2 linked regions of the Kluyveromyces lactis genome follow. The protein of the gene in region 2 interacts with the protein of the main gene of each other region in a pairwise test. Links are inferred from orthologs where the notes say so. Each region holds a gene or a part of one and is shown on either strand. Other genes may lie near its edges.

The links.
Region 1: the proteins of ARX1 (region 2) and ALB1 interact in binary tests that used the Saccharomyces cerevisiae proteins (3 or more experiments, as listed by UniProt). The link is inferred for Kluyveromyces lactis from reciprocal best matches to the Saccharomyces cerevisiae genes ARX1 and ALB1.

What each region holds. Positions count from the first base shown.
Region 1 is NC_006041.1:1,343,432-1,348,838, reverse strand, and holds ALB1 (Alb1p), read left to right. Parts: upstream 1-2,426; coding exon 2,427-2,909; downstream 2,910-5,407. Other genes in the region: FMP46 (putative redox protein), read left to right, coding at 100-489; DUF5427 domain-containing protein MTC1, read right to left, coding at 558-1,766; ribulose-phosphate 3-epimerase RPE1, read right to left, coding at 3,046-3,759; histone chaperone NAP1, read left to right, coding at 4,343-5,407. UniProt on the Saccharomyces cerevisiae protein: With ARX1, involved in proper assembly of pre-ribosomal particles during the biogenesis of the 60S ribosomal subunit. Accompanies the pre-60S particles to the cytoplasm.
Region 2 is NC_006042.1:1,096,606-1,103,306, forward strand, and holds ARX1 (putative hydrolase), read right to left. Parts: upstream 3,817-6,701; coding exon 2,101-3,816; downstream 1-2,100. Other genes in the region: TMS1 (Tms1p), read left to right, coding at 1-433; recombinase DMC1, read right to left, coding at 560-1,549; PDA1 (pyruvate dehydrogenase (acetyl-transferring) subunit E1 alpha), read left to right, coding at 4,824-6,062. UniProt on the Saccharomyces cerevisiae protein: Probable metalloprotease involved in proper assembly of pre-ribosomal particles during the biogenesis of the 60S ribosomal subunit. Accompanies the pre-60S particles to the cytoplasm.

The sequences.
Region 1 (5,407 bases), on a different chromosome or scaffold from region 2:
CTGGGGTGACCTGACTTAATTAGACTGAAGTATTTAACTGAGTAAAAGTTCGAATTTTTTATAGAGGGGGACATTGACAATCAGTATCTTCAATTCATCATGTCTATGTTTAAAACCATCCAATTTCAACCTCGCGTAGTGACATTATTCACACACAAATTAGAATCATCTCATGCTCAAAATCTTCTAACGGCATTAAAATCGAACCACAAGAACAAAATCAACATTGAAATATGCCAGAAATTCCCTACTAGAGATCAATTGGAATATTTGGCAAAAATTGATAAGCCCGACTTAATGGAACAGATTCCTAAGACGGAATCTCTTTTGAAAAAAGCTGCTGAGGATCCACTATTTGGGTCACCATTGCAGAAATGTGTCGAGAATGGGTCTTGGAATAAACAGACGAGCTTATGGGTTGACTGGGAAAAAGCTGTATTAGGCACGACGGTTCAATCGTTGAAAGAGAAATGGTTACCAAAAAACTGATATGGGAGTATAATAATGATGATTAATAACAGTAATTAGGGTTTTAAAATATGTATGTAAAAGACACTTCACAAATTCATTCTGCTTATGACGTATTGTTGGGCAAGAATACCGAAAGTTAGATCAAGACCTTCGGATATCCATGGTTTCACCCAATCACTTGGGTCGATTTTTTCTGTGGATTCCTCATCGCTTAGTGCATCGGATTGTAACCATTTGGCCCATTTGGAGGGGTAACCTTGGGATCTCACTATTAGCAAGATATCATTACTTATGTCTTTCAAGATGACAATGAAATGGAAGTTGTTTTGTCTCGATGCGTCGATCAAAACAGTGTTAGAATCGGCTTCGGATGATCCGTCTTTCCCAGTAACCTCGCAGGCCAGAATGCTGACAAAAAGATCGCTTACTTTACTCACTGGGTTACTGGTTCTTCTCGATTGTTTCTTAGCAGTCTCCCACGTCTTGATTGCATTGTCAAGGTTGGCCAAGCATAATTTTTCACCGTCAACGGCTTTACCTTGGAAAAGGTTCAAGTTAACGTTATCATCCACTTTCCTGCCGTGATCCCATTCATCAGCAAATATTCTTATTCCACCTTGCACCTGTTGCGATAGTAATCTTTCGAATTGGTCTTCCACCTGATACGTAATCGTTTCCTCGTTCAAATTGTGTAAATCATGAACCAAATGAATTCTGATCACTTCATCCGTTTCACCAATGACAATCTTAGTCAATTGTGAAGTAAGCCCAGAAATGACATGAGACCCCTGCAATGCCGTTAATCTGGCCCCTATGTCGTTTATTTTCAAGTTGCCCTCTTGAGTAGCTATCTTCTCTTTCAATTGATTGGCTTGTTCTGTGGTCTTGTTCCAGAAACTGGATACTGTAGCAGAACCGCTAGATGACCACCAATTGGAAATTGACGCCAGTGGGTCCTGAACTGCCTCTTCACCTTCTTCTGCCACATGTTCTTCTTTTCCTTTCTGTTCACTCGGTTTCTCTTTACTGGCTGTCTCTTCTACAGGTTTCTCGTTCGATTCTGGCTTCTCCTCCGGTTTCTCTTTCTCTTGCTTCTTAGAGGATTGTGGCTTGTCCTTTTTGGACGGTTTCTTCTTAATATCCAGGTTACTATTTTCCAATTCGTCTAAGAATTCCATAATATCCTCATCCTGGCCGCCGTTCCCACTAACCTTACCCTTTCCCTTAGTGTTATTAGCAGTACTGGCTGGTAAAGAGTCTAAAAACTCTAGCACATCATCGGCATCACTAGTCATTTGGTGTTTTCTTTTTAAGTCTTTACTGTCGATAAAACTTGAATATTGATACGAATTGTTCAATCAAGAATCGATATATTCAAACTAGAAAATTATCGCTGAAAGGCAAGACAAAACTCCAACGGTTGAACTTAAACTAGCCTCCTAATCCTTGTGAACACAAGTATATAGTTTCTATCCTTTCTCTATTGTCATGGTTCCAACTACCGTGTGTTTTTTTCATGTATTGGTCCATTCTAAGGGTGGGTCGTATTTAAATATCCGGGTAACTATGTCACTTTCATTACCATGAAATAACGCTGGTATACATAAAGTGAGCAGTTAGCCGAAATGTAATGAGCACCGTGGCCTTTATCACCACCTATTCTTACCCCTTCCATAGATGGTGCTCTCCAGTACCAATGTCGGCATGTCTTGGCTTAAATCTTAGCATTTTTCATTAACTAATACCGTATCTATTTTGTACTGCCGTTTCTTTTCTAAAATTTTTCATCTCATCTCATCGCGAATCTGTTGAAAAGTTAATGCATCTCCATACCATGTACTTGATCCCCCGTTACTATTCACCTGTGCTAGCTATCTTGTTACTTGTTACTCTTAGTACTGGCTAGTATTCCTGGAACTACAAGTTAACGGTTAATCACAGTACTAAAATTCGAGATGCCATCTAAGAACTCCATTAACAGGCCAAAGCAAAAGGTTAACTTGAACCGTAAGGTTCATCAACGTGCTGCCAAGAGAGATGCTATGGAAAAGAAGGGTTTATTGGCACCAGCAAGATCTTCAGGAACATCTAAATCTGGTCAGTTGAAGAGTATACCATTGGATCTTTACAAAGGCGAGCATTCGACCTCTGGTGCTCTTACGACCAAGACTCTTTCGAAGAAAAGAGCAAAGAAGATCGAACGTAACTTGAAATACGTGGAACAAAGAAAACTATTAGTTGATCTACAATCTCAAAGTGAGGAAAACGGTGGTATGCAGATTGATGCGCCTGTTGTGAAGAAGGAGAAGGAAACCAAGAAAGGACAATTGGAAAAGATGAGAGAGGCTATTTCCACGGTGTTGGAAGATATTCAATCTCAAGGTTTATCCCTTCAGACAGGTTCTGGTACAACTCTAGGTGGTCAGTATTTCTTGTAGAGAGTCTTAAAAATCGTTAAATGGGGTTTGCATTGTCTATATAAACATTTTGTATACTAGGATAGATCTTAAACGGATCGTTCATTAAATATTATTCTGACATAAAAAAGAGTGCGTATATGTACTTAGGTACTTACTACTTTTCGTATAAACCTTTGGTCACTAATGCATCATTGACCTTGGTTTTCATAAATCCAATGACATCTGCTGGGTCGTGCGCGCGGAACACAGAGGTACCGGCAACAATGACATTGGCACCTGCCTCGGCAGCAAGTTCGACATTCTGTTTACCAAGACCACCATCGACTTGAATGTTCAAATTAGGAAATCTAGTTCTCAAGTCCTTCACTTTGCTCATCATATCGGCCATGAATTTTTGGCCACCGAAACCCGGTTCGACAGTCATTACAAGAGCCATATCCAGGGATGGTGCCAACTCGTACAACACATCCACAGGGGTACCTGGCTTCACAGAACAGGCAGCCTTCATACCATGCTTCTTAATTAGCTTAACCAACGCTACCGGGTCCTTTGTAGCCTCGTAATGGAATGTGAACTGATCGCAACCGATCCTAGCAAAATCTTCGACCCATCTTTCAGGTTCACTAACCATCATATGACAATCGAAGAATGCTCTTGGTAACTTGGTGTCTGGATCGTTGTACTTTCCGATAACTTTACGTAGCGATTCGACAACCGGTTGTCCCAATGACATATTAGGAACGAAGTGACCATCCATAATATCGATGTGTAACCAATCGGCACCAGAGTTAATCACATTGTGACATTCACAACCTAATTTAGTGAAATCACTGGCTAGAATAGATGGGGCAATAATAGCACGAACCATGTTAAAATTGAAACTTATTATAGTTTTGTAAACTGCTGACCTTAAACTCGAACAGGTAATGGTAAATCGTATTCTATAATGAGCAGAGCAGACCGTTAATTGGGTAGTTGGTTCTTGTTTGAAAAGAATTCCCTGCTGCTTTTTCTAATTTTATTGCATTCTTTATAAAACTGAAATTCTGATATCCAAAGAAAGCGACTATTGAGAGAAAGAAGAGGGGATCAGGATTACTTCAGAGTATTTTACAGCTCAAGATTCATTATATAATGTACCGTTGATATCAGGAGTGCTTTATTCCGAGTTTTTTTACCAGGAATTGGTACGATTTAGTCCTTTGAATTGGCATACGGTTGCAGTATTTGCATGCTTCCGTGATCTATTTTAATATGTAAGGAATATATAAGAAGAGCATTTTTTAGCCAGAAAATTTTCTTTCAGTAGGAAACGTAACAGCTTGGAACATCTGATCGTAGAGGTAGTGGGCTATTTGTGATACTTGGAGTGTTGCAGCAGGATATTTGAACTACATTAGCTGTATACATTTGAGTGTATTTGGCAAAATAGTAAGGATCACATCATAAAAATGTCCAACCCTATCAAGACATCGAGGTCGAGTAAGATCGATAATGCACCAACGCCTCATAACACACCAGCTAGCGTGCTTAAGGATTCATATTTAAGGAAGAAGCAACAGCAGCAGTCTGACCAGGATCAAGATCAGGATGACGATAGCGAATACAACGAGAGTCCATCTTTATCCCGGATCAATGAAAAGTTGGAGTTCTTGAACATAGACGAAGAAGATGAGGGTGAAGAAGAAGAAGAAGAGGAAGAGGAAGAAGGCGATGAAGAAGCTTTCGAAAGACTCCCAAAAGCTGTGAACAATAGGATCTTAGCCTTAAAGGCTATTCAGTCCGATTTGTTCGAATTGGAGAAGAATTTCCAGCTTGAAATGTTGGAACTTGAACAAAAATATCTGCAGAAATACAAACCATTACACGAACACCGTTACGAGTTGATCACAGGTGATAAGGAAGCCACTGAAGAAGAAATCAAACGCGGGGGATCTTTGGATGGTGAAGATGAGCATGAAGAAGAAGAGCATGACCAGGAACCGGAGGAAGGTGAGGAAGAGATCGTTGGTGTCCCTTGTTTCTGGTTGACAGCCATGGAGAACTTACCAATGGTTTCTCAAAACGTGACAGAAGCTGACTGTGATGTATTGACATACTTGACGAACATCACTCTAGAGTATCTAACTGAGGGTAAACCAGGCTTCCAATTGATTTTCACCTTCGATAAAGAGAACGAATTCTTCACTAACGAAACTTTAACAAAGACATACTACTACCAGTCCGAATTGGGTTACTCTGGCGACTTCATCTATGACCATGCAGAGGGTGAAACCATTAACTGGGTCGATAATGACCATAACGTTACAGTCGAAGTGAAAAGACGAAAACAAAAGAACAAGACTACTAAACAAATTCGTACCATTGAAAAGCTGACACCAGTGGAATCGTTCTTCAACTTCTTTGACCCACCAAAGTCTCTGGATCCCGAAGAAGAAGACGATCTTGACGAAGAAGAAATCGCTGAACTTGAGAGTAGATTGGCTGTAGATTATGCTATCGGTGAAGAGATCAAG
Region 2 (6,701 bases):
GATTTCTTTATACGATGATGATGTTGAATACTCCGGGATAGGAGAGACACGTAATCAACTGAGGTTGCAAGCGATCAAACAAGCAGTTGAGGAGGGTGCTTTGCCCCAATCCGCCTTGCTTGATTATGAAGCTGAGCAGCAAAGAATGCATGTCAATGATTCTGGTAGGGAAGATGGTGATGATGATGAATTCAATGTAACAAAATACAATTACTCGTTGTTTCATTTCATTTTCTTTTTAGCTACGCAATGGATTGTGATCCTATTGACTATAAATGTTACACAAGATGATGTTGGAGATTTTATTCCTGTTGGCAGGACATACTTTTATTCATGGGTTAAAATCATAAGTGCTTGGATTTGTTATGGTTTATACGGCTGGACCTTATTCGCACCCATTGTCATGCCAGAAAGATTTGAATATGACTATTAGAAAACACCTATCGAAGTGGTAAGGGAAATGGATGTGTGTCACTTGTTTATAGAGTTGTACTATTCTGTTCGTAAAAACGTTCTATCGATAGAAAGTATGTCTTTCTTACGAGCCACCCATAGTGGCTTATTCATCAGAATCCATTATTCCACGCTCACCAATGACATAAACGCACTCCTTTTCCGGCATATCAGGCGAATCTTGTAATTTCGCGACCCTTTCGTCACCTCTACCTTTTCTCAATAATATTCTTGTCGCACTTGCATGGGCTAAGACATGTCCTCCGACAGGTTTCCTACCATCGGCACTAGCAAACAAGGCAGAAGCACCGGGATCACTTTGAACTTGGTTGGTCATGAAAACTGCGATATTGTTCTCCTCAGCGATACGATTCAATCTAGAAAGATGTTGGTTTAGTTTTTGCTGACGCTCGTTCAATTCCCCACGGCCTGAATAATCAACTCTGAAATTGGCCATAATTGAGTCTACTATTAATAGTCTATATTCTCCTGAAGAGAGTTCCTCGCCAAGCTGTTCAAGTAACTCCATCTGATGCTCACTATTGAGTGCCCTGGCGTACGAGATATTTTCAAGGCACACTTCGGGATCCAAATCATACCCTTGTGCTATCTGCTTGATTCTTTCTGGTCTGAAAGTACCCTCTGTATCAATATATGCAACCTTACCCTCAGGTCCATTTAGTTCTTTTGGTAATTGAGCTGTCACGCATAACGTATGGGATAATTGAGTCTTACCGCACCTAAACTCCCCAAACACCTCAGTTATGGACATTGTCATTATTCCTCCTCCTAGTACAGAATCGAATTGTTTCGACCCGGTAGAGATAGACATAACTGCTTGACGAATCTGCCATTGCAGAGTTGCTGGAATAAAGCCAATGGTGATGATTTTATTGGCAGCTTCTTTAATCTTTTCTACCTTCACTTCCGATAACCCTCTAACTTTACACAAATTCCTTCTGGTCGTCGACAAACAAGTGTTAACGGTAAATATACCAGCAGTCTTCAATTTAGTTATATCAGACGCGTTAATTCCGAAGTTTTGTAACTCATCAATATTGACCACATTGGTTTTAGTTTCTGTCTCTGTAGACATGACAGCTTAAATAGAAATGGAATGGGACGTTTCAAGTAGAATGAAATGCAAAGTTATTGGTTTTTAGGATCACCTTCTCGCTCCTAGTTATGTGCACTAGATATCTCGCTATGTCATATTCATTGGTAGTTGGGTTTGTTGATTTGGTTTCTGACTCCAAATCCTTTTTATACTAAAATCTAATTAGCCGCCATCATTTTGAACGTTTTGATAATCCTTCCGAAGCAAACACACTAATAGTAGAAGAACTAATGACAAAGTTGAGAGCTTGAGTTCTATTATGATTTTGCTAGTGTACAGATCTACAAGATACTTAGAAGTTGCTATTTATACATTGTTTTTGTTGCAATTGGTTGGTAAGAATAAAGACTCATAAGAACAAGACTCTTGGGCTACCGAAATCAAACGAGTATTGAATATAATATGAACTGGTGTATCAATGTAGAGTTATTGTGTGCAGATGCGAAAAGGGTGTTTGTGTATGAAATAGAATTTGTTATCTGTTGAAGTAGTTCTATCAAAGAAGGTAGTTAATACTGGTAATGAATAAATTAGAATTTCATTTTCCATGGTTGAGTTTCTCTGATCTTCAAACCAAATCTCTTATCCTCGGACAATTGAGCCAGTTTGAATATACCTGCAACGATATTGCTTGCAGTATCCATAGAGTAAACAGAATGAACCCAGTTAGATTTTAGGTTTCCGCTGATTCTTAGCAACTCTTCATCACAGATGGCTACAGTGACACATTGACGGACCACAGGAACTGGCGTAGAGTGTTTTTTTAGCAAGGATTTCAACTGTAGGTTGGACAAACCTAGTTTAGGTAGAGGAAGCTCGAAACCTGGGTATAAACCTTTATTCTTTGCCATGGCGTCATAACTTGACACACCGGATGGGTTTGTTAGATCCAAGATCTTAGCCCAAGGAACGTGTTTTACGATGGTGACATCTCTGTCGATTGTTAGGTAGTTGTTAGAAATTTCAGAAAGACCTAATCTGAATGGCTTGATTTCTTGCTTGATGGTTTCGAAATCAGGCTCCTGTACGTCCAATGGGAAAGAATCAGCGATATGAGCTAATTTGGTAGGGTATACACCTTGTTTATCCAATCTGGTCAACACTTGTCTAGCAGCTCTTAACTTTAGAACATGGCTCTTTGAAAAATCACGGCAGATGGCACCTGGTCTAGCCACCACATCAGAGGATTCAGATTTACCGGAGAATTGATCGACAGTGTGTAAAGTGATCAAACCTGGCTCCAATCCTTGCAATGGAGCCAACTTCAAATCGATCATGTAAACTTCACCCTTGACAACGGTAAAATCATCTGTTGGGACCACGGTATCTTCGGTGATAAATGGGTTCTTACGCTTGACATCAACAGCAGTTTCATTGACGGTTCTAGCAAGCATAGCAGCTTCCTGATGAGACTCAGTCCAAATGACACCTTTGAAGTCTCTTTCGACAATGATATTTTCGTTTTGACCAGAAAGGAATCTTTTGATTCTTCTGATACGAGAACCAGGCACAACGCAACAATTATAAGATTGAGCAATGGTGTCAACTACGGTCCTAATCAAGGAACCAGTGACCTTCGTAGCGTTGAAATCAGCTGGAAGTTTGGTCAAATCGTTTGCAGCAGCTAATAAGTTAGTGACGGACTCAACAGCGATATGGGTGGCAGCTAGAGCATCAGCTTTACCACCTAGCAAAGCAGCTTCAGGTAGCAATTTTCCAGATTGGGCATCCTGAACGGTTGGGTAAATGACCACGGTGTGGGACACGTTACAAGTGTACCCATCGATGTGACAACCCAAAGTGATCTTAGCGACATCACCAACTTTCAAAAACCCAGACAAACTAGAAGTAACACCGTTACATAGCTCGATCGATTTGGTAGATCTAGATTTTTGGTTCCAACGGGACAAGTTTTCGATGTCATCCACTTCAGGACACCAGTTCTCGTTTATTTCATCGATATCAATACAAGTTGGCATTGAGATTCCCTTCTCGTTAACCTTATTGTTGAACTTAGTACTTAAACAATCGGCTATGAACGAATCAGTCAATAAACAAAGTTGATGAATCGGTAGCGGCTCCATAGACTTCTCATGATACATCTTATTGATCAAACTGATCAAAAAGTTTAAAGCAGTCTGAGCAATTTGACCTGCAGTTCTATATTTCTCAATTGTTGGTTCGATCAATACATTCTTATCTTTCAATAACACCTGAGTGTCTTCCTTTGAGATTTGTAACGCCATAGTACGGATAATTTTATCCACAAATTATTAGTATTAGCTGTTTTCTGATACAAAGGAGGGAACGATACACTATGATAATGATGTAAGTATGTACCTCGTTTCTCTTTACCTCATCTCATCTCATCGCTTTAAAGTTTTCACTGATACTTTTTTTTTCCAAATTTCTTTCCTGGATACAACCTTTCCTGCCACACAGCACTAAGATATTTCAAAAAATTTTCCAAAATATTACCCGGACCTCGATCAGAAGAGAATGAAAAAGAAATCACTTTCTGATCACGTGCGCCAAAAGTATTAATATTCGGGTAATGTGTATCATTAGAACTCATGACCCGCATATTATCCGGGTAATAGATCTGCTGCCCATGTTCCACCCAAACACCGCGCTGTGCACGTCACTTTTCCCACTCTTTCTAACAACAATCCCGTCTGTCTAATTGAATCAGCACAATAAACTCTACCTACACCAGACGAAACTGTCAGATATCCCATAATAAGTAGAATATCAATACTCTCCGCATCATCAGCTACCCAACGGTTCAAGTTTGACCCCAATTAGAGCAAAATTGACCTTGCTTATACCCACTTCTTGTTATTTCAAGTCCCTTATCTATACCGACTGGCTGGCTACGAAATTTTTTGAAGTTTTTTTCCCAAGTTCACAAGTATTTAAAGGCGGATTTAATTGTGAATATGATGAGAAACAGTTGTTGCGTGATTAAGAACCTTTTTTTGGTCTTTCAGTGATACTGAGCCAAGCAATTGATTAATTGACTGACTGATTGATTGATTGATTGATTTTTGTCAAATTTTTTGGAACAAGGAATCGTTCATTAGTTGGCTTTTTTTTGTTTTAATATAGAATCAGGAACTCAGAGCTTCTTCTTCTTTATTTCTTCTCTATACAACATATTTTGCCATCACTACTGCTGAGTGTGTATTTGTGTGTTCTAATTGTTGGTCGCTATAGTAGTTAATACCGAAAAGAACAATAAATTAGGCAAACCATGCTATCTTTGAAAGCTCAATCCTCTGTGGTTGGGAAGTCCAGCTCTTTGAGATTGGTTAGAAACTTTTCTAAAAACGTCCGTGCTTTGTCCCAGGTTGCTGATGAAACTAAGCCAGGTGATGATGACCTAGTTCAAATTGATTTGCCAGAAACCTCTTTTGAAGGTTATCTTTTGGATGTTCCTGAATTAAGTTATCAAACCACCAAGTCCAATTTGCTACAAATGTACAAGGATATGATTATCGTTAGAAGAATGGAAATGGCCTGTGACGCTTTGTACAAGGCTAAGAAAATTAGAGGTTTCTGTCACTCCTCTGTCGGTCAAGAAGCCATTGCCGTTGGTATTGAAAACGCTATCACTAAGCGTGATACCGTCATCACCTCTTACAGATGTCATGGTTTCACCTACATGAGAGGTGCTGCTGTTCAAGCTGTGTTGGCTGAATTGATGGGTAGAAGAACTGGTGTGTCCTTCGGTAAGGGTGGTTCCATGCACTTGTACGCCCCTGGTTTCTACGGTGGTAATGGTATCGTTGGTGCCCAAGTCCCATTGGGTGCTGGTTTGGCCTTCGCTCATCAATACAAACACGAAGATGCTTGTTCTTTTGCCTTGTACGGTGATGGTGCCTCTAACCAAGGTCAAGTTTTCGAATCCTTCAACATGGCCAAGTTATGGAACTTACCAGCCGTCTTCTGTTGTGAAAACAACAAGTACGGTATGGGTACCGCTGCCGCAAGATCTTCAGCCATGACTGAATACTTCAAGCGTGGTCAATACATTCCTGGTTTGAAGGTTAACGGTATGGATATCTTGGCTGTTTACCAAGCTTCCAAGTTCGCTAAGGACTGGACTGTCTCCGGTAACGGTCCAATCGTTCTTGAATACGAAACTTACAGATATGGTGGTCACTCTATGTCTGATCCAGGTACTACTTACAGAACCAGAGATGAAATCCAACACATGAGATCTAAGAACGATCCAATTGCAGGTTTAAAGATGCACTTATTGGAATTGGGTATCGCCACGGAAGATGAAATTAAGGCTTACGACAAGGCTGCTAGAAAGTACGTCGATGAGCAAGTCGAATTAGCTGATGCTGCCCCAGCTCCAGAAGCTAAGATGTCCATCTTGTTCGAGGATGTCTACGTTCCAGGTTCTGAAACTCCAACCCTAAGAGGTAGATTGCAAGAAGATACTTGGGATTTTGCTAAGAAGAGCTTTGCTTTCAGAGATTAGAGCAAGAACGAATTAGGTAATTGAACGTTAAAGTTAACTTCTTTGCGTTTATCCTTTTTTTTATTCCCATCTCTCTACTCTTCCCTTTTCGAAAGACAACTATATTCCTATAAACTGCCCTTTCACAATATTATGCTATAAGGTTCACAAGATGATACTATTTGTATAGTGCATCTGCTATTTTCCACCAATCAATATTAAAGTACCAAAATCATAAAAAAACACCTTTTAGATACAAGTGTTTTTTATTCATTTCATTCACGGTATGGTTTCTATTCAGATAACTGTTTTTTTCGGTTTTAAAACATGAATGTTCATCTGTGACTTCTCATTCTCTCTCTCTCCATGAGACTTCGTTGATGCTTATTCTCAATGCCGAGAACATTATCTGGTTACTGATGCCTGCCATTACGGATTACCTGCGTTTTAATTTCTTCCCAAACAAAACAACGATACAGAATTTTCTCATTACTCCCAAAAACTACCTCAATAATTCGTGCTACAATCTTCTTTTCTTACGTTGATCTTGCGCCTGTTATAAACATGATTTATTGTGAACTAGGTTTTGTAAACTAATCTGACATTGTTCTTCACCATAAATTGTCTCTCCCCTTTTTGGTTGCTACGATACAATGTCGT